Struthio camelus: one gene and its partner. The protein of the gene in region 1 interacts with the protein of each later gene in a pairwise test. Links are inferred from orthologs where the notes say so. Each region holds a gene or a part of one and is shown on either strand. Other genes may lie near its edges. The genes, in order: GRIPAP1 and RAB4A.

Region 1 (14,805 bases):
TCAGCTGCAAGGGGAGTGTGGGGGGGTCACCGTGGTGCAAGAGGGGGCCCAGGCATCCAGGTGGACCCCTGCTGGTGCCCCCCCCCTTGTGCCCCGGACACCTTGGTCCCTTACCGCGGCACTGCCTTTCTTCTCCAGGATGCGCTGCCCATCCCGGACGTCCTTCAGCTCCTGCAGGAAATGGGGGGGGGGGGTGGTCAGGGGGATTGTGGGCACTCCGAGGGGGGATTGGGGGTATCAGAGAGATCCCAGGGGGTCTTGGGGTGGATTTTGGGGAGTCTTAGGGGGGATTAGGAGGATCACGGGGGGATTTGGGCTCCTGGAGGGGTCTCAGGGGGTCCTGGGGGGATTTAGGGGTCCCAGAGGGTCGGGGGGGGTTAGGAGGTCCTGGGGAGGATTTAGGGTCCTACAGGGGTGCCAGGAGATGCTGGGGAGAGATTAGAGGGTCCTGGGGGGAGATTTGGGGTCCCAAAGGGTCCGGGGGGGGGATTAGGGATTCCTAGAGAGATTTAGGAGTCCCAGGGGGTCTGGGGAGATTTGGGGGGTCCCAGGAAGGTCCCAAAGGATCCCATGGGAGGTTTGGGGTCCCATGGGTGGTATTAGGAGGTCCCAGGAGATGATTTGGGGGTCCCATAGAGGGGTACAGGGGATCTAGAATCAACTTGGGGGTACCAAGGATACCCCAGAAAGCATGAGGGGGGTTGGGGGTCCGTGGAAGCGCCCTGGGGGGCCCAAGTGCCCTGGCAGTGTTGGGAGGAATTTGGGGGGGGGTCAGAGGGACCTGGCGCAGCGCCCGCCCGTCGGCCTCCTGCAGCTCCCGCAGCCGCTCGGCCTCCGCCTGCGCCGCCCGCAGCTGTGAGCCCTGCGCCTGGAGGGGAACAGGTCAGCCCCACAGCGCCCCCCCACCCCACAGCGTGGCCCCCACGGCCCCACGGCGTGTCCCCCTGCCCCACAGCACATCTCCTTGCCCGATGGAACCCTCCTGCCCCACAGCGCGTTCCTCCGTCCCATAGCATGTCCCCCTGCCCCCTGGCACAGCCTCACCTCGAGTTCGGCCTCGTGCTGCTCCTGCAGCGCCCGGGCAGCTGCCTCATGCTCCTGCCGCCCTGTCTCCAGTAGCTCCTGCCACGGGCACAGGCATGTCACATGCGTGTGCCACATGTGCATGTGGCACGTGGGTCGGGGGGGACAGGGGGACTCACCCGGGCCTCGCACAGGCCCCGCTCGCAGGCCTCCCGGCTGCCCTCCGCCTCCTCCAGCCGCCGCTGCAGCTCCGCCAGCTCCCGGCCCCGCGCCTGCGTGCCACCCCGCGCTCGCACACGTGAAGCACACGCCAAGCGCATGCCAGGGCACCCCTGGGGCACCCTGGCACCCCCCTGTCCCACCCAGGAACCCCAAACCCACCTGATGGACCCCAAAACCCCCCCAGGGACCCCCCCCAACACCCCCATGGAGCCCAAAATCCCCCAGGGACTCCCCCCAAACCTCACACGGACCCCATAACTGCCCCAGAGACCCACAAACACCCCCCCAGGGACCCCCAGGGACATCCCCCCCCCCAAGGACCCCCAGGGACAGGGTTAGCGGAACCTAGGAACTCCAATTCCTCTCCAGAGACCCCAAATCCCCCCCAGGGTCTCCCCAGGAACACTAAGACCCTGCAGGGGCCCCCAGGGGCTCCCCAGTGACCCCAAATCCCTCCTGGGGGACCCCCGGCAGGGGAGCCCTCACCTGCAGCTGGGCCTCGAGGGCCTCGCGGGCACCCTGGGCCTCCTGCAGCTCCCGGGCCAGCGCCCCGCTCTGCTCCCGCAGCCCCGCTGCCGCCTGCCCATGTATAGACCGCTATACGGGGCCCACGAGCACTGCAGGGGGCCACCTGGGGCTTCCTGCTGCATCACAGGGCCATATAGGGCCGTATAGAGCTGCACGGGGCAGCTTAGCATGTCATGAGGGCATATGGGGCCACATAGGATTGTATAGGGCCATATAGGGCTATATAGGGCTATACAAGGCCGTATAGGGCTGTGCAAGGCTTCCCAGTGTGTCACGGGAACATAAGGCACTGTACAGAGCTGTATGCGGCTACACATGCCTATATGGGGATATACAAGGCTATATGGGGCTGCCCAGTGTGTCACACTGCTATATAAGACTGTATAAGCCTCTATAGGATCATATAGGACAATAAATGGGCATGCCTAGTAAGCCACAGGACTGTATGGGGCTCTATAGGCTTGCTCAGCATATCACAGACCCATACAGGAGCGTACATGATTGAACGGGTTTCCCCAGCATACCTTAAGATCATTATAGGACTATATGTGACTCCCCATCATGTCACGAGGTTGTGTGGGGCTCCCCCCATGTCCCAGGACCATATGGGGCCATAAGGAACTGCTCAGCACCTTATAAAGACATATAAAGCTGCCCAACATCACAGAGTGCTATACGGAGTGGTATAGCTACCCAATATATCACAGTGCTGTATGGGGCCATACCAGTCCCCCCAGGGCATCACAGGGCTGTTTAGGGACGCATGAGGCCATACAGGGCTGCCTGGTGCATCATAAACCTGACCTAGCCCATATAGAGCTGTATATGAATGTATAGAGCTATACCAGGCCACCTGATGCATCATGCAGCTGTAAAGGACGTCATAGCCCAGTCCGCTCAGGCAGGGCTGTACAGCACTGTATGGGGGTGCTAGGATTGCGTCTGCAGGGCTCTATAGGGGCCGGTGGGGCATAGAGGGGTCGCACCTGCTCGAGGGCGGTGGTGCTGGCACGCAGCGCCTCTGTCTCCGCCGCTGCTGCCTCCGCCCGCTCGGCACCACGCGAGGCCTCCTGTGCCAGGGCTGCGTCACCACCCGGACACCGGGGCCCCACAACCCGCCCCCGGGGCCCCCTCAATGCTGTGGGGTGCCCCACAGACACCGTAGGGTGCCCCCAACCACCCCAGGGTACCCCCCAGGACCCCCTCCCAGCACCATGCAGTGCCCCCAAGCCACCACAGGGCATCCCCTAAGAGCCCCCCAATGCCATAGGGTGCCCCCAGGACCCCCCAGCCACCCCAGGGTGCCCCCAGGCCCCCTCAGCACCATGGGGTGCCCCCCAGACACCCCAGAATGCCCCAGAACCCCCCCAATGCCATAGAGTGCCCCCTAGGACTCCCCAGCCACCCCAGGGTGCCCCCAGGACCCCTCCAACACCATGGGGTGCCCTCCATGTGCCCCCCAGCCCCACCTGGGCCACGGCCTCAAGCTCCTGCCGCAGCCGCTGGTTCTGGCCCCGCAGCTCCTGCAGCTCCTCGTCCTGCCGGGCCTGCAGCTCCTCCGCCTCTGTCCTGCCACCACAGGGACCCAGGCGTCCGGCGGGGGGCCCAGGCATCTGGGCACCTGCCCTCGCCCCCACCCCCCCACCCCTCCAGGGACCCAGGCGTCCGGGGCCGCCCACCTACTGTCGTTGTACAGGGCGTCCTTCTCAGCCTGCAACTGCAGGAAACTGAAAGAGACAAAAAAAAAAAAAAAAGTTTACCCCGTTTCCGAAAGGATCCTGGTGTCCAGGTGCCCCCCCTTGGAAGGGGCCCAGGCATCCAGGTGCTCTCACCTCTCCTGCTTCTTCCTCAGCTTCTCTGTGAGCTGTGGGGAGAGAAATCGCTGCTGGTGGGGGAGCATGACACCCCCAAATTCCCCCCCAAATATGAGACCCTCCCAGGATGCCCCCAAACCCCTGGGACCTCCCAGAACCCCCCCCAATCCCCCTAGGACCCTTCAAAATCCCCCCAGGACCCCCCAGACCTCCCAAATCCCCCTAGGACCCCCCCAAAATCCCTCCAAGATCCCTCAGGAGCCCTCCAAACCCTCTGGGACCCCCTCAGGACCCCCCCAGCCATCCTAAATTCCCCTGGAACCCCCCAAAATGCCTTTGAGACCCCCAGGACGCCCCCAAACTCCCTGAACCCTCCCCAAATCCCCTGGGACCCTCAAAATCCCCCCTTACCTTGGCCACCTCTGCCTGCAGCTGGGCCACCTCCACCTGGGGTGAGAGCCCCCCCATGAGACCCTTGTACCCCCCCATATGGCCCCATTTCCCCTTTCTTCCCACCACAATCCTTCATAGTCCCCTAATCGCTCCCTAAAATTCCCATATCCCTCCCAAATGTCATTGATTCTCCCCATACCTCCTATAATCCCCCCAAAATCCCCTACATTCCCCCAAATCCCCTATACTATTTTCCCCCCAACACACTTAATCATCCACGTTTCTCTCAAACTCTATCCCTGTGTCTCCAAAGCCCCTAAATACCCCATTTGCACCCCAGTTCCCCATATCATCTCATTTTTGTTCCCAAATCCCCTATATTCATTCTATATTTGCTCTATATTTCCAATACTTATTTTCAAACACCCATATTATAATTGATTTTCCATGAATAGCTCCATGTTTTTCTTGTACGAAAACAAGAATCTTGAATTGTCTGTATTCTCCTAAAACTCTTCCATTTTCTTGCATTTTCCCCATTTCCACCCTAGCTTACTATATGTTCCCCATATACTTCTCTCCCCATATGCTTCTTTGATTTTTCTGTATTACCCCAATTCTTCCCAAGCACTCTATGTGCTCCAACATCCCTCTAAATCGCCCCGTATTTCATCCAATCCTGGTATATGCTACTATATTTTTACTCTAATCCCCTATGTTGCTCTAAACCTTCCAGTGTTTCACTTGATTTCCCTATATGCTCCCACATTCTTCTTATATTTCCTATATGATTGCATAGTACTTTTTTGCAGCTTTGTTAAACCTAAGTTTTTTTCTCTAGGTTCTGTACTAATCTAAATAGTCTGCAATCATATTCTTACGTGGATTATTCCTATCTACTATAATTCCCTCAGATTTTCCCATCTATTTAATGCATCTTCATCTATGTTTTCTACAGCCTCCCCCAGACCCTCCCAACTGCTCCATACCCTCTTATTGCCCCCCCATAGCAAGTCTCTATCCCCTATAGGACCCATAGGTACCTGCAGGGCAGGCAGCGGGGGCTCCGCAGGGGGGGCATCCCCCTGGCCCCCCTCCTCGGCTGCTGGCTCCTCAGGGGGCTCCTGGGGGGCTGCAGGGTGTTGGGGGTCACCCCACAGCCCCCCCTGCCGGCACCTATAGCCTTTGGGGCACCCTGGTGCCCAGGGACCCCCCCAAACTCCCCCAGGGCCCCCCGGGACCCCAAATCCCCCCCGGACCCCTCTAAACTCCTCCAGGACCCTCCAAATCCCCCTAGGGACACTCCAACCCCCCCAAGGCCTCCCTGGGAACCCCAAACCCTCCAACCTCCCCAGGGCCTCCCTGAGACCCCCAACCCCTCCTGGACCCCCCCAGGAACCCCCTAAAGCCTTCCAGGACCCCCCAAATCCCCACAGAACCCCCCAGGACCCCCTGAGGATCCCCAAATCCCCCCTGGACCCCCCCCAGGGACCACCCCAAACCCCTCCTGGACCCCCCAAATCCCCCCAGGTTCTCCCAAACCCCAAGGGACCCCCCCCAGGGACCCCTGAGCACCCTCTCACCATTGGGTGCCGCTGGGGGGGCCCCACCATCGCCACCAGCCCCATCTTGGGGGGCCTCAGCAGGTGGCGGGGGGGCGCCAGGGGGCACTGGGGACTCCCCATCCCGCAGGCGCCGGTTTTCCTCCTCCAGCCCCTCGATCTGGGCGCAGAGCTGCGGACCGCCCCTGCGTCAGAGATCCTCCGGGGGGCAGCGGGGACCCTCAGGAACCCCCCAAGAGGTGCTGGGGACCCCCAATTGCCATGAGGGACTCCCCCAGGGGGCATTAGGGTCCCCCAGAGACCCCCAAGTGGGTACTGGGGACTCCAAAATGACAAAAAGGTCTTGTGGGCCTTGGCCACCCTCAGGGTGGCACTGGGGACCCTCAGGGACCCTCAAGTGAGTGCAAGGGACCCCCAAATAGCATTAGGGACCGTCCAGGAGGCATTAGGGACCCCAGAGACTCCCCAGGAAGCATTGGGGAATCCCAGAGACCCCTAAGAGGGGATTTGGGACCCCCAGGTAACACTGGGATCCCCCCAGGATGGCACTAGGGACCACAGGGTGGCCTTGGAGACCCCCAAAGACACCTAAGAGGGGATTTGGGACCCCCAGGTTGCACTAGGGACCCTGGGGTGGCATTGGGGAGCCACAGAACAACATGGATGGCACCCAAAGGGCCACCCACCCTTGCCGAACCCGTGTGGTGGGGCACCCTGGGGTGGCATCAGGGCCCCCGTGGGGATGCTGGGGGCCGCGCTGGGGGGCACCTTGGCCAGCTCACGCAGCAGGGTGCTGTTCTGCAGGCGGAAGTCATCCTCCTGGCTCTGCAACTTGCCCTGCAGCATCCGCGTCTCGCCCAGCAGCGCCTCCACCTCCTGCCGGCCCCCCAGCCCGTGGGTGCCCCCGCCAGAGCCCCCCTACATCCCCCCGGCACCCACTGACACCCCGGAGACCCCAGATCTGCCTGGCGCCTGCGGGGACCCGCTAGCACCCGCAGGGAGCCCCCGGACCCTCCCAGTGCTCATGGCCTCCGAGACCCTCCCAGGGCCCCCCTCAGCACCCATAGGGACCCCAAGTACCCCCCAAACCTCACAGGGACCCCCCCCAGCACACACAGGGCTCCCCTTAGCACCCCATAGGACCCCCTCAGCACCCATGGGGACCCCAAGGACCACCCAAACCCCACAGGGCTCCCCCTAGCACCCCATAGGACCCCCCCAAACCCCACAGGGACCCCCCCAGCACACACAGGACTCCCCCTAGCACCCCATAGGACCCCCTCAGCACCCATGGGAACCCCAAGGACCCCCCAAACCCCACAGGGACCCTCCCAACACCCAGGGGGATCCCCCTAGCACCCCAGGATTCCAGGGACCCCTCCTAGCACCCTCACACCCACAGAGACCCCCTCCCCAGCATCCTCGGGCCCTGGCCCCACCCCCAACCCTACCTGGGCCTTCTTGCTCTTACTGAGGGCCTGTGAGACACAAGGGTCAGGGGTCAGCCAGGGTCAGAGGTCAGATAGGGTCAGAGTCAGAGGTCACAGAGGAAGGGGCCTCACCTTGTGGGCCTTGGCCAGGTCCTTGTCGAGCGCCTGCACCCGCTGCCGCAGCCCCGTCAGCTCTGGGGGGGCGGGGGGTCAGGGGCCCAGGCATCCGGGCACCCCTTCCCAACCCCCCCCAAAAGAGGCCCAGGCATCCCAGTATCCCCCTTCCCAGGGGACCCAGGCATCCCTTTCTGCCTCCCCAAAAGACACCCAGGCATCCGAGCATCCCCTCCCACCCCCTCCAAAAGCAACCCAGGCGTCCGAGTATGCCCCCTGCCCCCTTTCTAGGGGGCCCAGAAGTCTGAGCATCCCCTCCCACCCCACCAAAAGGGGCCCAGGCGTCCCCCCTCCCCCCCGGGGTCCCGGCGGCCGGGCCCACCGGCGCTGTTCTTGCGCAGCTCGTCCGAGAGCCGGTAATTCTCCGCCCGCAGCTCCAGCAACTGCCCCTGGGGGGGGGGGGGGGGGGCGGGGGGGGGGTCAGCGGAGGGAGCCCAGGCATCCGGGCCCCCCTCCCGCCAGGGGACCCAGGCGTCCGGGCCCCCCCACGCCCACCTGCATGCGCTGGAACTCCTCCTCCGACAGGGCCTGCGCCATCTTGGCACCGCCGGCCCTGTCGGAGGGGCGAAAACCGGCCCGGTGATTGGGGGGGGCGCCGTTAAGGGCGGGTCATAGAGACACAGCCGGGGGCAGCGGGGCTGCGGCCCGGCGCGCTGGCGGCCCGGCGGAGGGAGCGGCGGCCCGGAAGCGGACGCTCTGGCGCGGCGGGAGCATAGAGGAGCGGAGGGGGCGGTGAGAAGAAACGCACTCGGCCCCCGCCCGGAAGTTGCGGCCAAGGAGATGGAGTCCACCCGGCCGGAGAGAAAGGCCCCGGGGCGCTAGTGAACCATAGAGATGGCTGCCTGTGCTAAAGGCTCCAATAGGGACCCCCTGATGCTACAGGGCCCAAAGGGACCTCCCTGGTGCTATAGGGCCCATAGGGATCTCCCCTGCACCTATAGGGTCTAGCCATTGCTATAGAGTCCATAGGGATTCTCCTAGACCTATAGGGCCCGTAGAGTCCCCCATGGTGCTAGAAGACCCACAGAGGGCCCCCCCCCCCCGGTGCTATAGGGCCCATAGGGTTCCCCCTGGTGCTATAGACCCATAGAGTCTCTCCTGATACTGTAGAGCCCATAGTGACCTCCCCAATCTATAGGGCCCATAGAGGCCTCCCTGGTGCTATAGGCCCTATAGGGATCCTTGCAGTCCTGCAGGTCTAGCAGAGACTCTTCCAGTGCTATAGGGCCCAGAGCAAACCCCCCTCCCCAAACCTATAGGGCCTATAGGGTTCCCCCTGGTGCTGCAGGAGCCAAGAAGACCTCCCTAGTCCTATAGGGCTCATAGGGTCCCCCCAGGCCTATAAGGCCCCCGGTGGAGGGGGGCCCCGAGGCCGCTCATTCCCCTCCCCCCTCGCTAGAGGCAGAGGCGGGGCCTCGTTACCAAATGTTTAATTTCATGGCGCTCCCAAGCGACAGTTTTCTCCGTTTTTTTGTACAAAATCGGGGCCGGGGGGAGGGGAGGTCAGGGCGCTGGGGGGGTTGGATCCAGTCCCACCCCCCCTGGAGGGGAGCGGCGCGGCCCCTTTAACTGGGGGCGAGGCTACACGAGGCGGGTGGGCGTGGCCAAGCACTGGGGCGTGGCTACACGGGGGGGTGGGGTGATGCAGCCAGATGGCACCATAAATGGGCAGGGCCAGTCCTCTAAGGGGCGGGGGCTAGCTGGGTGATGGGCAGGGGCGGGGCATCATGCCTGAGGGCCCAGCCCCCAGGAGCCCACTCATTGGAGGGGGGCGGCGGGGGCGGGGCCAGCCGGGGCAGGGCCTCCTCGTGGGCAGGGCTTCTTTCTGTTTGTGGGCTTGTGGGTGGGGCCTCCCTGGAGGAGTGGGACCAGGGCTTCCCTGAGGGGCGGGGCAGGGCGTGCCCGGAGAGAGTGGGCGGGGCTTCACTCTGGGGCGGGGCCGGCTTTTAAAGGGGCCATGGGACACCTTAAAAGCAACGGGTGGGGACCCCCCTCGAAGGGCCCTGCCCGGCACTGGGCTCAGGCCTCGTCCTCCATGCTGAGGCTGCTGTGGGGGCTGGAAGCGCGGGAGGGCCCAGGGGAGGCCAGGAGGGCGCCGGGGGGCCCGAGGGGCGAGAGCTCGCCGGGGTCGTCCATGAGGATGTCGTCGAGGCCCCCTCCTGCCCCCCCCAGGCCCAGGGGCAGCCCCAGCCCCGGCGGCAGCTCCTCGGCCAGGGCCAGGTCCAGCAGGCACTGGGGGGCGGCCGGGGCAAAGGGGGGGCCCCCAGGGGCCTCCTCACGGCCCCCCTCAGCCACCGGCGCCGGGGGGCTCAGGGGGAGCCCGTGCATCTGCGCCTGCAGCTCCAGCTCCTGGGGGGGGACACAGGAGGTAGGTCAGCACCATAGACCCTCCTAGGTGACCCCAGCCCCACAGATCCCCCCAGGTGCCCCACAGACCCCTCCCAGATGACCCTCCAGCCCCCTAGACACCCCCAAATGCCCCATAGCCCTCTCTCAGGTGTGCTCCAGCCCCATGACCCCTCTCAGATGCCCTGCACACCTCCTAAGTGCCCCATAGACCCCTCCCAGGTGCTTCTCCAGCCTCATAGCAGCTACTTAAATGCCCCATAACCCCACCCAGGTGCCCTCCAGCCCCATAGACCCCTCTCCAGGTGTTCCCCAGCCCCAGAGCCTCCCCCAGGTGCCTCCCCAGGGCCCCCCAGACCTGGACGCGAAGCTGGAGGCTGCGGTTGGCCTGCTCGAGGCGCTGCTGGTGCAGCTCGAGCTCACGTGAGCGCTGCGTCTCCTTCTGCAACTTGCGGATGTAGTCGACCGAGGCCTTGAGGATGGTGCCCTTGTTCCAGCGCATCTCCCTGTGGGGGCACCCGGACGCCTGGGTCCCTCCGGTGCCCGTCTAGACACCTTGGTCCCTCTGGTGTCCCACCCGGATGCCTGGGTCCCTCAGGTGCCCACCCAGACACCTGGGCTCTCTCTATTGTCCCGCCTGGATGCCTGGGCCCCGCACTCACGGGTCGTTGGATTTGGGGATGAGGGTCCCCAGCTCCTTGATCCGGTCGTTGATGTTGAAACGGCGGCGTCGCTCGACTGGGGAGGGAGGAAGGAAACGTCAGCCCCACAGTGAGCCCCGACCCACGGCGAGCCCTGCCCCATGGCTCCTGCCACATAGCCCCCCCTAGCCCCGTGACTATGCCCCAAACATCCCCCAGCCCATAAATCTGCCCCCCAGCTCACCCCAGCCCCACGGTTCCTCCCCAAGCCTCCACCCAGCCCCATGGCCCCACTCCATGTTCCCCCCCAGCCCCATGGCTCTGCCCCACACACCCCCAGCCCCACAGTCTGCCCCACAGCTCTCACTCAGGTTGTGGTTGTCCTTCTTCTGTCGCTCCTTTAGCAGCGCCTTTGCCTCCGTCTCTGGGGGGCAGAAACCGTCATCAGCCCTCCACAGCCAGACCTGCCCCACGGGGACTCCCCCAGGGACCCCAGAGCCCCTCCTACCCCATAGGCACCCCTCAAGACCCCAATGACCCACCTAGATTTCTCCTGCACCACAGAGAACCCCCAGACCCCCAAGGACCCCCCCAGCTGCCTTCCTGCCCCATAGGAGTCCTCTTAGACCCACCTCTGCCCCAGAAGAACCTCCTCCAGACCCCTCCTATCCCTGAGCAACACCCCCTAGACCCCCACTAGACTCCTCCTGCCCCATAGAGACCCCATCCTGCCCCATAGGGCCCCCCAAGAACCCCCACAGCCCTCATCCTGCCCCATAGGAACACCCTCAGACCCCATCTTGCCCCATAGAAAACCTCTAGACATCATCCTGCCCCAAAGGGACCCCCCCCTAGATGGCACCCTATCCCATAGGGGCCTTCCCCAGCCCCTGTCCTCCCCCATAGCGACCCCCAGGGACCCTCCTAGCCCCCATCCTGCCCCACAGGAGCCCCTCCCTACCAGAGAGCTCGGCCTTGACACGGGGCAGCTCGGCAGGACAGGAGCTGCTGCCCCCTGCCGGGGGGCTGAACACCTCCAGGAGGGGCCCGGGGGCGGGGAGCTGAGGGGTGAGGGGGTGGGGTCAGTCGGGCCCTGCCCTCAAGGCCACACCCACCCCTAGCCCCCCCCCCCGACAGGCCCGTGGGGGGGCTGGAATGGGGCTGAGGCCATGCCTCCACTCAGACCACGCCCCTGCCCCTCCCCAGGCCATGCCCCCACCATATATGGACACAGGGTTAACCCCTGAGCCGTCTTCGGTCTCCTTTCCTTATATGGAGCAGCCACACCCCCCCCCCAACCAGCAAGGAGAGGCGTGGCTCTGGCTGGACCAGGCCCCCACGGGCCTTAAAGGGGCAGCGCCACCCCCTCACGCACCGTGCTGGGCAGCTGCAGGCCGCCCTCGGTAGGGCCGTAGCTCAGCAGCTCATCGTTGTAGCTCGACTCCAGGCTGATGATCTCATCGATGACGTCATCGATCTGGGGCAGGAGGCAGAAAGGCGGGGGGGTGTCACAACCCAGCGGAGCCTCCTGATAGGGGTCAGACTACTCCTCCCTAAAATCGCATGAAACTCCCCCAAATCGTGCAAAGCGCTCTCAAATCGTGTGGATCGCCGGGGCGGGCACCCACCTCCTTCTCGGAGCCGGAGCCGATGTGGAGCAGGGCGAGGGGGCTGTGGGGGGCGGCGGGGGCGGCGGGGGGCCCCGGCGGGCTGGGGGGGCCGCCGGCCGCCCGCCCCAGGGCCGAGCTCAGGTACTGGCGCACTTGCTGCCGCTGGGCTGCCCGCAGGTGGTAGCGCGTTGGGTTCTCCAGGTGGGTCTGCACCTGCGCGGGGCTGCGTCACCCCCCGGATCTGGGGGGTGGGGTGGGGCAGGACCCCCAATCCCCCAAATCCAGGTGGCTGGGGGGGCCCTGAGGCCCTGAATTCCCCCCATGCCCCTGCCCTCCCCACTTCCCAGCATGCACCAGGCTCCTCCATTTCCCAGCATGCCTCAGACCTCCAATTTCCCAGCATGTACTGGAGCCATCCCAGTCCTCCTCTATCCCAGCATCCCCTGCCCTCCCATTTTCCCAGCATGCCCCAGTCCTCCCCACCCCAGCATCTCCCATCCTCCCCTATCCCAGCATGCCCCAGCCCCCCACCACCCCACCATGCCGCAGGGCGCCAGCTGACCTTGAGGACCTCGGGGGGCACGTGGGGGGCAGGCCGGGGCAGGGGGGCGCCGACAGCGATGGCGGGCGAGGGGGTGGGGGGCGCGGGGGGCCCTGGCGGCCCCGGGGCGGCCTGGCGCTCCCGCCGCTCCTGCTCCTCCGCCTGCGCCCGCATCAGCTGCTGCCGCAGCAGCACCCGCGACGACATGGCCGCCTCTGGGCCCGGCCCGGGTGTGTCGCTGGGGGGCCCCGACGGCCCGGGGCTGGGGGAGGCCGTTAGTAGAGAGCCTCTGGGGGGGGGGGGAGATGGCTGCTGGGTGTGGCAAGATGGCTGCCGGGTGTGGCAAGATGGCTGCCAAGCGAGACAGGATGGCCATGGTGGGAGGGAAAACGGCCACCATGGGGGGCCAGAGCAGGGAAAATGGCCACCTTGGGGGTCTGTGGGAGGGAAGAGGCTGCCATGGCGGTCTGGGGGGGGGGGAAATGGCTGCCATGGGGGTCTGGGGGCTGGAAATGGCTGTGGGGGGCCTGAGAGCAGACACGGCCACCGAGGAAGGAGGTAGGAGGGCCACAGCGTCCGTGGGGGGCGTGAGTAAAATGGCTGTCTCACATGTGGGGGTGTGGGCAAGATGGCCACCACATGGGGCAAGATGGCAGCGCGCGTGGGGGCGTGGAAAGATGGCCACCACATGGGGCAAGATGGCAGCGCGCATGGGGGCATGGGAAGATGGCCGTCGCGGTGGGGGGCGGGGTTACCTGTGTGGGAGGGGCTGGGTCTTGAGGCAGCAGAAGGCAGCAGGGGTGGGGCCTGGTCCGGGGGCAGGGCCTGGTCCAGGTCCAGGGGCGGGGCCGGGCAGGGCTGGGGGGGAGCCGGGGGGCCCGGGGGGGCCGCGCTCCCACTCGATGTCGGCCACGATCCCCGACTCCGGCAGCGGCGAGCTCACGCTGTGGGGCACGCCTCAGCGCCGCCGCCGCCCCCCTGGTGCCCCCCGGATCCCTCGTAGATCCCCCCCAATCCCTCCATGATCCTTCATCGCTCCCCCATCCCTCCCAGGTCCCTCCTGGGTCTCCCCGCTCCCTCCCAGATCCCCCCAAACACCCCGGTCCTTCATGGATCCTCCTCCAACCACCCCAATCCCTCCCAGATCCCTCTGCTCCCTCCTAGACCCCCCCCCCCCATAATCCCTGGATCCTCTCACATCCGTTTGGATTTCCCTGATACCTCCTGGATCCCCCTGGATCCCTCCTAGTCCCCCCAAATCACCCCCTAGGTCCCCCCAGATCCCTTCTGGGTCCCCCAATCCCCACTTATCCCTCTGGATCCCCCCAATCACCCCAGATCCTCCCAGATCCCTCCTGATCCCCCCAAAGCCTTCCCCTGCCACTCAATCCCCCCAGATCTTCTCTGGATCCCCCTATCCCTTCTGTTCCCTGATACCCTGAGCCCCTCCCCATCCTTCAGCCCCCCTCAGATCCCCAGGGATCCCCCCCCAAATCCTGCTGAACCTCTCCCATCACTGGATCCCCCCGAACCCCCCGCCCTGCAGCACTGCTGGGGATCCCAGGGATCCTGCGACTGGGGGCGGTCCCAGAGGGGCTGGAGGGGTCCCAGGGGATATAGTGACTCAGGAAAGGGTCCCAAGGGGGTCGCAGGGGATCCCCGAGGGGATCAGGGGGACCTAGTGATGGGGGGAGCTCAGGGGGATGCTGGGGGATTTGAGGGGTCCCTGGGGGATCCTGTAGCTGGGAAGGAGGTCTCGAGGGGACCCGGAGGGCCCAGTGAGCGGAGGGACGTGGAAGGATCCCAGGGGAGCCAGTGGCTGAAAAGGGGATCCCGGAGGGGATCGGGGGGTCCTGTGAACAGGGGCGTCCCGGGGATCTGCTGACAGGTGGGGTGGGGTTGGGGGGATCCATGGGGAGCCAGCGACTGGGGAGATGTACTCGGGGGATCGGGGGGGGGGTCTCAGGAGGGATCCAGTGACAAGGGACAGGGGAGTCTTGGGGAATCCAGTGATGGGGAGAGGGGATCCCGGGGGATTGAAGGGGTCCAGTGACAGGGGGTCCCGGTGGGGTCAGGGGGTCCCAGAAGGGATTCAGTGACTGGGGGGTCCCGGGGGGGATCCAGTGACGGGAGAGGCCGGGGGACTGGGGGGATCCAGTGATTGGGGGGGTGCTGAGGGGGTCCCAAGGGGGCTGGGGGGATCCCAGGAGGGATCTAGGGGATCTGCAGGGACCCAGTAACCGAGGGGAGGGTCCGGAGGGGGTCAGGGGTCCCAGGAGGGATCCAGCGATGGGGAGGGGGGATCCAGGGGGACCTGGGGGGATCCAGTGACGGGGGGGTGCCGGGGGGATCCGGGGGCCCCGGCCGCCCGCTCACCTGAGCAGCCGGAGGCCGTCGGGGGCGCTGGGCTCCTCGAGCAGCAGGTAGACAGCGGGGCGGGCGGGGGGCGGCCCCGCTGGGGGGCCGGGGGGCGCCGTCGGGGCCCCCTCGGCCGCCCCGCGGGACATCGCCCCCGCCCCGC
Region 2 (14,475 bases), on another chromosome or scaffold:
AAGCACTAGTTTTAAATATGTATCTCGTAAAGTTCAGGAACAAACATTCCTCATCCCCCCACCTCGAAAAAAAGAAAACAAAAAAACAAAAATACCACCCCAAGCCACAGAAGTTCAAAGGTTTTTGCAAATTACGGTATTGTCTTAGTTCATGATGTACTGGACATGAAACAAATGCAAGATTAGAGAAGAACGAAGTGAGCTTTAATATGCATACACTATAGAACCAGGACCTGGTGCTGAAACAGGACTAGCATTGTATATAGTTACGGGGAAAAATACACGGAGCCTTTCTTTCCTCCTCTCCTTGGAAGATCAAGTTGTTCAGTTTTTCTTCATGGGCTTCATCATTTTTGTACCAGCCTAAAATATTTTAACTCTACATCTTTTTTCTAAACAAACTTTTTTTGAAGTTACTTCTGTGCTAAATACTAGTCATACTAGCACAGTAAAAGTCCTTGCTTGTTTCAGTGTATACCTCACCTCCATACCCTACCAGTCTCATTTTACCACTCCAAATGGAGCTGAAACTTGGGGGAGGAGGGAAAGTGCACACTACTAAAGAGAAAAATCCCATTAGTTATTCATTATATTATAGCTTCCTGAAGAAAACTTTCAGCCATCACATTCTCATATTGAGACATCACAGAGAAAGGAGAGGTACTATGGTGATATATTAGAAGTGAGCTATGTTTGTTTGTCTGATGAAGCCTATTAGACTTAAAGTAGCATTAATAGACTTAGATATAAAGAATTAAAGACTACCAGTAAAGAGAAGAATGATGCAAATAAATTTAAAACAATTACATGAAGCAGCCATTAAAATCTGAAAACATAAGCACTATTTTTCTTATCAGTCCATCTCACAAGCTGTTCCAGAACACGGCACTAAGTTCTATGGGTCTCCAAGCTTCAGCGCTCCACTGGTAGAAAAATCAAGTAAAATGTTGCTGATAACGTTGCACTCACTCTGGTATCCAATTCTGCTACAACTTTTCACTTCCCATTGCTACAAGCATCATAGTTGGAGGATGATGGGTTTACTGCCATACTAGTCCCACCCCTCCCACCCCCCGCCCCATTCCTTGGGGAACAGGAGTGTTTCCCTAAACATCATTTGTACTCATGACAGTACTCCCAAGGATCCTGGATACCATCGTGACCAAAGCCTCAAAAAACGATGAATGGAATAAAACCATGAAATTAAAACATAGAGACCATTTTAAAAGGCATTTGGCAACAGCAAGAGAAAGGAGAAGTACCCTTCCTCATGGGATTATCACTCCAACTGCAGGCAATTTACAATATTACTATTAAACAGAAGTCTTGCAGAGATCTTCCTAAAATAACACAGTTGAGCTAACTGATTATGTAATTTTCAAATCAAAGTTGAGGTTAACACAACATAGTTAGTTACATAAAATAGTTTTACTAAGTATAAGAATATTTTTTTAAATGGAAATTAATCTATAAGTTAAAGATTTCCACAGTAACTCTCGGCAACAGCAACAAACGCTTGGCTAACTTGGCTATCTTGGAAAGGAAGAGGGTGAGGCAATTTTCTTCTAAATAACTCTTAAAAATACACTATGTGAATTGCTTTCTCAGCAAGCCAAAACGTTTATTTAGATTTCTCTAATTACCATGAGATGCTATCCCCAACCATTCTGCAGTTAATTGTTCCAAGTTATTACCCAAAAGGGGAAATGTTGTGTTTATATGTAGCTAGCAAATACAGAGTACGCAAACTGCACTTTCTCTCATAATGTTGAGCTGACAGCTAACGCACAGCCCCCAAAATAACGGTCACCCAACCAAAACTGTTAAAATAGTTACGACCCCTTAGTTGAGGCAGAGCAACTAACCATGCAAGAGTTCAAATTATCTTTGTTCTTGTATTAGAAAGGACTATAAAGCACTTGTTTTGTTTCAAGCAAACCTGTTTTATTTTGCATTCACATTGTCAGCTATATTATCTGAGATGGCGGTAGGCAGGCAGAGAAGTTACTAAAAGCTGTAGGCTGCTAGCTCCCAGCGGACTGCAAACTTCTATCTGATTATACTTTCCCATTAACTTTGCCTCAAGTTGCAGTCTCAAACTCCCTGCGGCACAGCTGCATAAATTGCAGACGTTTAAGAAAGATGCATATGCAGCTTAGCCCAAGCAGTGTGGGCTCTGACACCCAAGTAAGTTCCTCTGCATCAGGTACACTGATATAATTGTGCTTGTGCAGCAAACGTTGAGGTCATTTATCCTTCTCTCATTGAATTACTCTGCAGTCTTCTCAGGATACAGGCGTCCAGATATAAAGCTATTAGGGAACAACCGACATACAGTAATATATGCATCAGTGCCCTGCATGTGGACACACCTTGTCATAAAAACCCATCCAGCATGAGACAAGTCTGTTACGGATTCATCTCTATGGGGTTTAAACCAGTGCAGCCTTGCATTTAGATCTAGCCCTTATACACCATAAAAATTACATCAGAAGACAAGACTTACAATGTTTGTCCCACGCATGCTGGGTTCATCTTCGTTTTCTAGGCTGGATTTAACTACATTCATTAACTTTGCTAAAGCTTTCAACAGCGGGGCTGCAATACTGTTTGAAAACTTGGTAAAACCAGCCTATGCTCAGACCTATAGTGCAGAACCAATACAGGGTGGAGAAAGAGGGCACAAATCGCACTAACTTTAAGCCTTCAACATTGCTTTTATCAGAACGCAGAACAGGCACTTCGATATATCTCTGTGCAAGAGCAAATCAGGGACACAGCTGGAACTGTAACACACAAAATTTTGATTCCTGCTTTGATCTTCAGCCCATTAGATCATGCTGCTTCTAAAATATCCGTGGATATGATTCAACAAATCCATGAGGGTGGGATTTCTTTTTTTCTATTTAAAAAAGAAGAAACCGAGTTGATTAGCTCTCTGTACTACAACTGTCTACCAAATCAACTTAGTATTAAAAACTACAGCTGCACATGATACCTAAACACCAAAAACTGTTCAGCAAAGTTGTTCCAGCTGCCTAGGCAGCTAAATTTTTTACATTAGATTCAAGGAGAATGCTAATGCTCTTTCTCTAATGACACCCTGAAGTGCCTCAGAGAGCTTGGCACATGGCTTAACCCTGAACAGGATCCAGAAAGCAGCATTCTCCTGCCTACTTCCATGGACGGGTTTGGTCAATAAGCATACTCTAAAAAAGATTTACTGATTAACATGAAACACAGAAAAGTCTATTTTAAAATTACAGAGTGGCGCTGCTGCAGACTTACATTTTTTAGCCCAAAATGAAGAGGCCAAAGTACACACAAGTTACAAAAACACAGGTTCTATTATCTCCTTTGTTCAAGGGGGTTCAAGCTCATAAGACTGGCTTTATTGTATCAGATCAAGGGTCCATCTTCTGCAAAACTGATCAGCTGCGCTGGGCTGCAGTTCCTCCTCCAAAATTTCTTGAGACTCTTGCTGCTTTCCACCTGGCTTGCATTTTTATTCAGTCTTCTGAAGCACCACTGAGTTGCAGAACTTTTTTGTCAGCCTTCATCTGGCCCGGACCTAGCCAACCATCCAGAGCACCAAGAGGAAGAAGCTTTGTAGGACAGATCCCAGCAACTGTGGGGCCTGTTTTTGTTCCTTTGACTTTTCACAGTTCTAAGCAAGACCACTGGGTAAAAGCCACTATCATCTTGGATACAGGGAGCTGCAGGCAATGACTGGTGTTCTTCTTGAAAGTCCCTCTGCTCAGTTTTGACTCTCTGACTCTTACCCTATTACAGTCACTGTCCCCCAAATACACTTTCTTCCCCTTGGTTTGTTTGCTACCTCTGTGCTTCAGGGAGGCTATGAGAATTGATATGTAGCTCACCCAGAGGGGAGCTTGTCCTTAATGGGAACCCAACAGGAACAGTGCCCATAAGTAAATGCTTCGTGAATGATACAGGAATAGGTGAGTATGTCATGATATTGTCCCTATTTCCCTCTCAGTCCTTAAATACAGTCAACTCAGGAGACCTCCTGAGCCTAAGGCAGGGTCTATTTAGCGGCCTTCAATGATTTTTCTTTTCTTCCATGAAATCACCCAGCCTGCTGGATTTTTAACATACACATCTTTCAGCACCAAGTTCCATATACTTACTGTTAGTTGCCTAAAGAACCATCTCCTGTTGTTTTAAACCTAGCTACTAGCTTCATATGATGCTCCTTACTTCCACGAGAAAGAAAAGAGTGAATAGTAAGTTCCCACCCATTCTCTACACGCATCCCAGGATTTTGTATATTTCTATTACACCACTCATCAGCAGGCTTTTGTCCAGATGGAAGAAATCCAACTCAATTAGTTTAACTATGCTAGTAGCAAATTTTCCAGATCCCAGGAAATTCAGTGCTTATCTAAGTCCAGATATCATAAAGAGACAGATGTAAAGCACCCAGTCAAGAGGTAGGATGCAAGATTCAGTTCTTACCTTCCCCTTCACCCAGATCTGGAAAGGAAAGGAAACAAAAACAAACACCTTCCCCCCCCCCCCCCCCCCCCCCACAGAACTGGAAAAGCTTCAGAAAAGGGCAAAAAAGATGATCACTGATATGGAACAGCTTCGAGAGAGGGAATGACTAAACAAGTTATTTAGTCTGGGGTGGGGGCGGGGGAGGGAAATATATGGAATACCATTTAGATCTATGAAATCCTGAATGGCACAAAGTGGGAAGACAGAGATAAATCTCACACTCTTGTTCCATTAGAAGATCTAAGAGTCATCAAATACAACTCAAAAAACAAGAGGAGATAGCTCTTCACTGAATGGGTAGTTTATGTGGGTAGCTCCCTGCCAACAGATGCAGTGACTGCAAGAAGTTTATTTGAGTTCAAGGAAAGATTAGACAAATACATGGAAGAAAAAAGCCATAGAGGGTTTTTTTAAACAGACACCATGCCTGACTCAAAGCTACTAAGGTGAAAATAGCTGGAGGCTGAAGAATATTAGAGAAAGCATCAAATATACTTTTCCTGTTCTTATGGTCTTTCCAAAGCACCAACAGGACATTGTAAAATTGCATACTGGTTACTGCCTTGGTTGCAGATAGTACAGCTATTGTTAAATTCTACGTCATCTCATAGCTTACATTTTTTGTTCTTCCATTTATCCTAAATCATGCCATTATCTTCAGTTTTCCAGCTCGGAATTCCTGTAGCTTGATGTATATAAACAGAACAATCACTGACATTCAAAAGAGAAATATACCGAAAACCCCACCACCTCTTTAGAACACCACAATAACCCAAACTCTTCAATTTCAAGGGTGTGTTTTTAGGACATCAAAACAATCAGAGAGTATCAGCAATGCTAGTGGGTTTAAAACTATTTTGACTCACTGGAACAATGCAAAAAGTGCTGAAATGTACTTGTTTAAGATGCAATTATTTATCTTGATGCTGTAATAGCAAGCAGGTTAAGAAGGAATACTGCTGGAATTATCTCTATCATCGCTGGTTGTCTACCCATCCATCTGCTTAAAGACTACAAATCCCACCATAAACATAGCCAAAGCGATCTCGATCCTTAACTGCAACAGCTCAGAGCATGAAGAATTAGCTCAAACTCACATCTAAATCAACAAAGCACATCTCTTTGGCCTGATTTCTACGCATGCGTTTTGCTTGTTTGGAGAAAACACCAAAAGAAGAAACAGGGTCTTGCTATCCTAACATTTGCACTTAAAGGGCTGCCCCGCACTTTTGCCTCATTTTCCCCAGTAGTTCTGTGCTTTTTCCCGTATACTGAAACACTCATCATAGTGGGACAAAGTACCCTAAGCACTCCTGACCAGGCTACTGAAAATATACAGAGACTTATACAACAGTAACAATAAGATCAGCTAGCCTACTAATAAGAACTGACAGTGATGCCAGTCTCCCTCAGATCAACAAGCTTTAGCAGTGAGTCGACTTGCCGCATCTAATTTCACTATAATTATCCAAACTATATATTATTTATCAGGATTCTGCTCTAAAGACAGAGAGACACAAGTGCAGATCCCAAGCTCAACCAATTACTGAGGATAACAGTCTGCAACAGACAAAGCCAGAAAACGAGAAATTAAAGGGCTCATCACAGTATATCCAATTCCAATCTCATCCTCCAGCAATCCAACACAGGGACTCTAAAAATAATATTTAGAGGTATGACAGGATTTTTATACAGTAAATAAAAGCATTACAGGATACAGAACTATGTTATGGAAAGAGAAAAAACATACGAGGTTGATTCAAGAACTCAAAGTTACAAACACGAGAAATGAATATTATCCAGTCACTTCCCATATGCTCCACCCAGCCAGCAGTATCAGCTCTACCTACCTATTGGACTCCACACATTGATGTGCCTTTAATGCACTGACTCACCCCACCAGAGCTTGCACTCTTACGACTTACGCCTTCAGATGTTTTTCTGCTATAATGCTCATAGGAAACACCACATAGTAGTCAGATGTCCATGCTAATACAGAGATGAACAAACTTTTTAGTTCTTTTTTTACTTACTCACCCTCACAGTTTCTTCTTTTTAATGTTTGTGTATCTAGGAAAATAAGACTACAATCCTAATTTGACCCTCAAAAGAACACTGTCCCCAATTTTACAATAAAAGCAGCTTCGTCCTAGAGGGCATGCACTGCAATTTTCCTTCTGAATTAACTTAAAGATAACAAAGAAGTAGTGCCTAAATTTTCTGGCTAGTATTTTACTTACCTTTTGAGTCATCAATACTTCTCAACATTGAAAAATAATTTTGAATAGGCACTATCACATCAGTGTGAGCTGGACAACAGAGGGAGGAGTAATAGGCTGTAGTGAACATTGCTAATAAAGAGTAGGAAAAAAAGAAAAACAAACAAACCAGAAGGCAAGAAGCCTGTCTGAAGCATAAGGCCAAACAGCTACCATAGCCTAGAACTTCAAAACTCATGCCACACTGGATCAGTCCCTGATCTACCACCTCTTCTCTGCTTTCTTCAGCAAGGGCCATAGCTTCCTACTCCAGATGGTGATTAACTCGGCACAGTCAACAGCACAACGCCAGAGGCGGGGGACACTTTGCTACAACCTTTACCACACTGACACTTCGTTCACCCGCTAGGGCTCGGGAATAAACACCGCGGTTCAGAGCCGGCCCCGGCTCAAAGCCTCGGCGGAGGCGAGCCTCGCTCCCTAGCCAGCGCCCGCGCGCTGGGCTGGGCCGGCCCGGCCCCGGCCCCCGCTGGGGAAGAGCCGCACCGCCGGGCCGGGGGTCTCCCGCTCACAGCGACCCCTCCCCGGGGGCGCAAGCGCCTGCCCCGCCCGGGCCCCGGCTCCTACCGTAGGTCTCGGACATGGCCGTCTGCGACATTTTGGGAGCTGCGAGTCTCCCCTCCCCGGCAGAGGCTTGCGGCCCCTCAGAACCGAGGGGGCAGGCCGGGGGGGAGACGGACAGGTCCACGCAACAGCAGCAACCACCGCCGCCACCACCAACTGCGCCGCTTCAGCCCAGCCGCCAACGGCAGCAACGGCCACCACCGCGCATGCGCGTCCGAGCCGCCTCGGCCTCCGCCCCTCGCGGCGGCGGCCGAGGTGTGGGGCGGGGGGGGGGGGAAGAGCGCCGCCTCGCTGCGCAGGCGCGCCGGGCTCATGCCCCGCAGCCCCGCCTCCCCGCCGTTCCCCTTCCAACGGCCGTCACCAAAACAAGGCGCACGTGCGGGGCTGCGGCGCCGCGCAGCCGTTGGGGGGCGGGGCGCGAGGGCGGCCCACGTGACTGGCTGCTCTACCCCGGTGGTGGCCGCCATGTCGCACGAGTGTGGGCTCGTCTCTGTCTGCTCCCTGGGAGCTCTTCGTCCTAGCCCTGCTCTCTGTTTTCCCCAGTCTCAGAGGGCTGTTCTGGTACTCCATCTGGGGCTGCATCAGGAAGCCCTGGGGGCTGCCAGAGCTAACACAAGTCGGGCGTACAACTTGTGGGTGGCAGGCTGGTCGCAGGTTCCCCGAAACGTGCTCCGTTTCCTCCGTGGTCGCAGGGTGTGCGCCCGATAGGCCACAGACATTTAGGAAACACGGCCTCACCGCCGCTCTGCTGTGCGGTAGCCCAGTGCGTAGTAGCTGTAGCTGTCCTGGAAGTCCCGGGTATACGAGACAGCTGTACCCACAAAGTGTGGGCGATGGTGGGGCTAGCTGCAACTCTGCCAAGATAACAGACGCCTCAGTTCTGCATGCGCTGAGGTCATGTTGATTTCTAAGGCTTGAATAATCTTAACGTTTTCCTTGTCCAGAGAAAACTCCATTATTTAAAGATATCCCATTCCATTCTGATGTCTGTGCTGGAAGTTGAACTGATGATTAAAAAATTCCCTTCAGTTCTTTCTGGAAAATAGTAGCCTCTGAGGCCATTCCTCCTGGGAGCTGAGTGCTCCTGTTTGGCGACTTGTCAGACGGCTGTCAGAGGGCATAGTCCCTGAATTCTGGTGTTTTTTGAGCTGCTGGGATCTCAGCCGATTCCAGTTAATTTTCCTGCCAGCAAGTCTGCAAACGCTTTTCCCCAGGTACAGAACCTGCCTGTGATGGTCCTTCCTGAAAACTGTATTCCACTGTCCAACTTTTTGTCCTAAAGCATCTGTTCTAGACTCGTTAAGATCCTTCCCCAAAAAACTTTCCCCCCATTTCAGTCAAGGGCTAAGCCTTTTGCCGTATATCCTTTTGAGGTACGTGGTGATATGTATAAGCTAACAGACAGGGTTTTGTTTTTCGGAGAGCTGACTGCACCAGTGCTTTTCCGACCTCCAAGATAAACCCCAAGAAAATTCAGACTGTTGAAATGAATAAACTTCCTGAGTGCAATAGCACTTGATTTATGTTATTCTTTCTTTGATGTCTTACTAACTCCCAGCCTGGTTTGTCTCCGGTGATCCTGGTTAGTGTGGCAGCTAGAGGCACTAAGACTGATCCTCCACTACGAGAGCCCCTCCAACTCTTCTCTCCCACGACAACGCTTCCCGTGTGTCCCTTCACGCTCTTATTTCTACCACCCCTTTTAAAAATTCCCCTGTTATTTCTGGCCTTTTAATCTTATTGCTCACAACTTGCCATTCTTTCCATTTCTCTATCATCTCCCAAACAGTAGGAAAAACTGCCGCTGCCCTTCCCAGCCGTTTCCTTACTGAGTCTGCTACTGGTCGAAGGTCAGCTTTTAAGTTTCTATCTCTAATCAGTGAAACAATACATGGTGGGCCAACATTAAAAACCTCTCAGAGAATCTGCTGATTATTTTAATGCCATGGATAGACATTGACAAAGAAACTTGTTCCAGCAATTTTCAAAGAGCCAACTGCATAATAAATTCGTAATATTAACAGTAATTAGTTATATACACAGGTTCCCAAAGCTGTCACAGCCAGAAGACACTACATATAGAGGCCCAAAATGTCACATGTGAGCATTTGCCCCAGGGCATCCGTTCTCCAGAGCAATAGAAGAAGCTAGGGGAGCTTTCACAGGAGCTGTATCCCAGTGTCACAGACCAGAGCTTTGAAAGCTATCTCCCCCAAATGATGATACTTTTGAGGGTGAGGTTAGGCCATAAAGAAGTTTGGTCTAATATCACTGAATCCCTGATAGATGTGGGCTATTTTTTCTCTAAAAAAATTAAATTTTAAATTCCAATTTTAAGATTGTTTAGCACAGAAGAAGACAGATTTTACTAGGTTATTAAAAATTTGTTAAGTTGTTTCAAAAAAGGAATGGAAATTTAAACATCTTGTACTGTATAAGCAGTACTTTAGGCTAAAAAAACAAGTTAATCCTGTCTGATCTTTTTTTTTTACTGTGTATCTTGCAAGATGAGTTTGCCTGTATGGAGGTTATATTTGATAGATAAGTCATGATACTAATATCATACTTTTTTGCCTCCAGGCACTCCCAGTTAGTTGATATGTACATGCCAATAATATGTTTTTTAAAAATAATGCTTTCTATGAGAGCTGTTAGTAATAATGAAGAGAAAGAGGGACGCTGGAGAAATTTCTGGTGAAGCAAAGACAGGAAAAAAAAGGAGAGACGGATAGGATTGGCTGTTTCGATATTTCTACTTTAAAGAGGAAACGAGAACCGAGAGAAAATTTCAGAAATAATGAAAAAGATTGCACTAGGTTAGGAACTACATAGCTGAGATCTCTGCAATTTGAGACTACAGGCTACTGTTTGTTAATAAAAACCATTCTTTCTGAGTGATCAAAACAAAATAGATAGAGCTGAGAATGATCATCTTGCGTATGAGGGTGAAGAAGACCAAAAACCAAATGTTTAACTTGTCTTCTGATTTATGCTTTCTATTGGTTACGTCCTCTAGACACTCCTGGCTCCTGTAAAATGAGATATAACATGTCAAACTGTGAAATCTAAATCCTATCGTTTCTTCCCCAAATTAGTTTCACCACAATTATTGTGCCTATAGTTGACTGCGGTTGTAAAATTGCAGCCCAGAAGGTCATGTTGAGGTTTTGCTAAAAATGATGCTGAGCTAATTTTTAACTAAGTTTTACTAGGCAGTGTATCAGAAATATAGTGTCTGATATCTCATGAGTGGAAAAGGGCCATCAAGATCTCCACAGAGGCAGACTCAGGCCAGAATATTTTGTGAAAGCTCTTTCTTCCAAACTAAAATAATTCCAATTTTAGGACTTGGCAAATTTGGACACAGCTTTCAACGACTTAGCATTGCAATTGGCCAGATCTTTCTGTTTTCCTTCACCCTATTATAGACAAACCATATTCAAACTGGATCTGAAGTTCGGTAGTGTTTTGTGTCCACCTGCACTGTGGACTCAGAGCTTCTGGCTGGGGTTGGAGTGCAGTTAAAAGGTGGGAGGGACTATTAGTTAAGGGAGTGATAGGACATATCCTGGGTTAGTCTGAAGGTGGCACTACAAGGCCATATGTGAAAGGCACTACTTTAGGCTGAGGGGGTGCACGTGTGTTTTCTCTAGTAATTCTCTTAGGCTGTGTGGCACATGGACTGCCTGAGAGACTCAGATAAAATGGGGAATAACGTGTTTTGCCTCACCTTCTTGTCTTGTGGGCTGAATGCAGAGAGCAAGCAAGTGTATGTGGAAGCTGTAGGTCTAAGATGGATTTGGAGCAGCAATGAATTTGGCTCCGACAGCCCAAATGAAATATGAAGATAGGTGATTGATGCTCTGAGAAGCCTTAGGGATTCGGGTGACCTGCTTATAGTCAATGCCACTGGAGAGCTGACTTCACCTGAAAACACCTGGCATTATCTGAACTCTGTCATCTTCGGCTCCCACAGAAGCTGCCCTCAGCCTATGAGCATAGTTGTCAATTGATGTAATTGCGGTTGCTCGTGGAAAATTATGGGTTGAGCGCTTCTAAAATCGTGGGCTAGTTCCTCAGTAGTTAGCCATGACTAACTGGAGCTCGTGAAGAAGGTGACTGCAAAGGTAGCTTGGTGCTATCATTGAACTCCTTTGTCTTACCCCGTGGTGAACTTTTCCCAGAATAAATAGGAAGCCTACAAGCTATGCTACGACAGTGACAGCGGTGACTGCTAGAGTGCAGCATGCTGTATGCTGGGTGTATTTTCCCTTTTATCACGCTTGTCACCAGTGGTAGGAAGAAGACACTGGAGTGACTGCAGGAGTGCTGTGTAAGCTAAGGGAACTTAGTATTCATGAAGAGTCACCAGATCCTGGGATAAGCTCCTTTTCGGATAACCTTATGCTAGAATGCAAAAATGCAAATTTGCCCTAATGTGGGGTTGGGTCCTTTTTTTGTCTTCAAAACACTACGTAAAATTTTTAGGTGCTTTGTCCAGGGAAATAGTTTTTAGCACACTTGTATGAGCACAACGGTACAGAGAAGCCCTATTTTAAAAAGAGAAATGCCTAGTATAGAAAAAATATTTAAAAGGAAATCAAAATATAGGGCATAGCTTTCAAAATAACTAGTGATTTAATTTTGCAGGAACACTGTAAATACAGTGAAGGGGCCTAAATGCTTTTTTCTGTATTTCAAGAGAGGCACAGGAAAATGAAGACAAATTTTGGACATATTATAAAATGTATTATACACATACAATGTCTGGAAAACATACAGATTTATGTGAAACTGACCTGTATTTTGTTAATTCAGCCTCATGGTGTCACTGATTAACTGCTCTGCTGGTGAATAATACAGTGATAATGGGATGTAACAGGCTGCATTTGTTCACTTTTAACAATAGGAAAGGGTTGAAGTGTTTGATGTTTTTAACATCACTTACTTGAAATAGAAGATTGGTTAATAGATTGCTCAGGAACACTCGAGGCCACACGGGCTCCCCTCTGGAGCCCACAGCACTTCTCTCTGCTCAGGAGAACTCACATACAATAAAAACGTGGCTCATTTAGATCCTGTTTCTCAAGTGAATATCCTCAAAGATGCAATAGAGCAGTCTTGATTCAGTTCTGCAGTTTTGGTTGCTTTGGCTGTGGCACCAGGAAGCAATCAAAGCTGGCTTTTGGCAGGGGTGTGATTTGCCACTTGTGCGGTTCACCTGGATGGTTCAGAAAGTTGGCACGTCTGTCTGGGTTAGCCGTCTGTGAGCTGCATGCTCAAGGAGGAATTCAGCTTGCCGTGTCGCATGTTACAGATGAACCGAGGTGGATGCATGCTCTCATGCACCCAAGGTCCAACCAGCTGAATCAAGGACCTGTCCAAAACGTACCACAGTGCCTGCACTTTACTGTGGTATGGGTTGCAGGCAGCCATGCGCTTGGACTCTGGCTCATGGAAGTACTCCCGTGTCCCTCATTCAGATGTAGCCTAGACACACGCCAGTTGTCTGGGCACCCTCTGTAATCAGTAGTGAACGAGAGGCAGCTCCAGAGTGCTTCAGCCCAACCGTCTTCATCAGCTGTCTGAGGACAGAATGGATCTCCTTCTGTCCATTGACTACAGAGGGAGCCCAGTTTAGGCTTAGAAAGCTAATTTTTAGATACCTAACATTAGGTATCTAAACATTAGGTGTCTAATGCCGCCCCAGGAGGAACTGGCTTCATCCTTTTCTCCAGTCCCTGCTTGCTCAGATGGAGGAGAGGCACTGTACTTTGTATATCGTATACATTTCACAAACAAAAATCTCTTAGGAACTGATTAGCTGTTAAGGAATCAGATTCTATTTTTTTTTAAACATACAGAAAATTCAGAGCATCAGAGGTCTAAAATGGCTTTTTTTATACACAGTATTTTTGGTATACAGTGCAAAGAATTTGCCTTGCAGTTTGCTGGTGGCTGACTAAGCGATCCATGTGGATCAGGAATGCAAGCTTCCTGGTGCTGCAAAGAGGAGTGCTAGACATTCTCCGCAATTCATGGGCAGGCTCAGCCAGCTAGTAAAGCACATACGTGGACCAATATTGATATGTAGATTTAAAATCTGGTACTTTTTGCTGTTATTTTGCTGTTAGGTTATGAAACTACATATATGGATTTTTGAAAATGAGCGTAAAGTAAAACATGGCTATGGTAATAAATGTGAGACTATAACAATCTGAAGGATCACATCATATTTTATTTTCACCCACAAATACACACATGAACACAGTCCTTTCACTTCATCAGAAATTGTGCAAGAGTGTCTAAAGGAAGAATATCTGATCTTAAGTGTATCACTATCTCTGTAGAAACTAAATCACTTACAGTTTCCAAAATGCAGTTCTGACTCTGATCATATACATGATTTTTCATTGATATGTTTCTGCCTGTTTCACCTTCACTTGTAGATAAACTTGTAGCTAATTTCACCTTGTAGCTATTTTTTCCATAGGATTTCCTGGGGGAAAAAAGAATTTGAAAATACTTACGGTCTACAAAGAAGCTTCCTTTCTTCTTCTTTTTAATTACTGACAAGCAAGAAAGCTCTACGTCATCAAATTGACATGCTGATTGAATGAATGGGCATGGCTTTGAATCCAGCCTAGGTTATTGTTGGCTGAATATTGTTATCGATGGCTTAAATAAAATGTGTTTGATGATCTTATCTAGTTTCCTAGCTGCTGCTGTCAACAAAACCCACACAGAGCTGTTACTACTAGTTGGCTGTTTAGAGGAAAGGTTGAAGGTGAAAGAGACAGATATATTTTGCAGTAGGTGTTATGGCACTTTGGATTTTGACAGAAGACTTCCTCGCTCGTTTCTCTTTTAAAGCCAGCTGAATGTTTTTTTGTTCCTTTTAGCCTTTTAGCTGTGTTGTGCTTACAGTGATGCCTACAGCTGGACGCAGCAGAGGCACAGGCTCTTCACAGTGCCTCCTGCTACCCAAGTCCTCCAGAAGGGCAAATTCCCTCTCTCAGGCGTTAGCGCAGGTACACTGGGCAGCACCGCACTGGCCGAGGCAGCTCGCAGACCTGCCCAATCTCACGCACGAAGCAGGAGTCTCACCCAG

Evidence for each region.
Region 2: the proteins of GRIPAP1 (region 1) and RAB4A interact in binary tests that used the Homo sapiens proteins (3 or more experiments, as listed by UniProt). The link is inferred for Struthio camelus from reciprocal best matches to the Homo sapiens genes GRIPAP1 and RAB4A.

The regions. Positions count from the first base shown.
Region 1 is NC_090979.1:322,602-337,406, reverse strand, and holds the start of GRIPAP1 (GRIP1-associated protein 1), read right to left. Parts: upstream 7,920-14,805; 5' UTR 7,684-7,919; coding exon 7,642-7,683; intron 7,536-7,641; coding exon 7,469-7,535; intron 7,167-7,468; coding exon 7,105-7,166; intron 7,021-7,104; coding exon 6,994-7,020; intron 6,419-6,993; coding exon 6,311-6,418; intron 5,715-6,310; coding exon 5,564-5,714; intron 5,113-5,563; coding exon 5,024-5,112; intron 4,035-5,023; coding exon 3,999-4,034; intron 3,638-3,998; coding exon 3,606-3,637; intron 3,501-3,605; coding exon 3,453-3,500; intron 3,343-3,452; coding exon 3,243-3,342; intron 2,844-3,242; coding exon 2,760-2,843; intron 1,825-2,759; coding exon 1,732-1,824; intron 1,296-1,731; coding exon 1,203-1,295; intron 1,123-1,202; coding exon 1,045-1,122; intron 869-1,044; coding exon 782-868; intron 172-781; coding exon 115-171; intron 5-114; coding exon 1-4. Other genes in the region: TFE3 (transcription factor E3), read right to left, coding at 9,166-9,495, 9,851-9,998, 10,155-10,230, 10,501-10,557, 11,095-11,194, 11,509-11,610, 11,762-11,956, 12,306-12,573 and 2 more. UniProt on the Homo sapiens protein: Regulates the endosomal recycling back to the neuronal plasma membrane, possibly by connecting early and late recycling endosomal domains and promoting segregation of recycling endosomes from early endosomal membranes.
Region 2 is NC_090944.1:91,382,641-91,397,115, reverse strand, and holds the start of RAB4A (ras-related protein Rab-4A), read right to left. Parts: upstream 7,614-14,475; 5' UTR 7,399-7,613; coding exon 7,368-7,398; intron 1-7,367. UniProt on the Homo sapiens protein: The small GTPases Rab are key regulators of intracellular membrane trafficking, from the formation of transport vesicles to their fusion with membranes.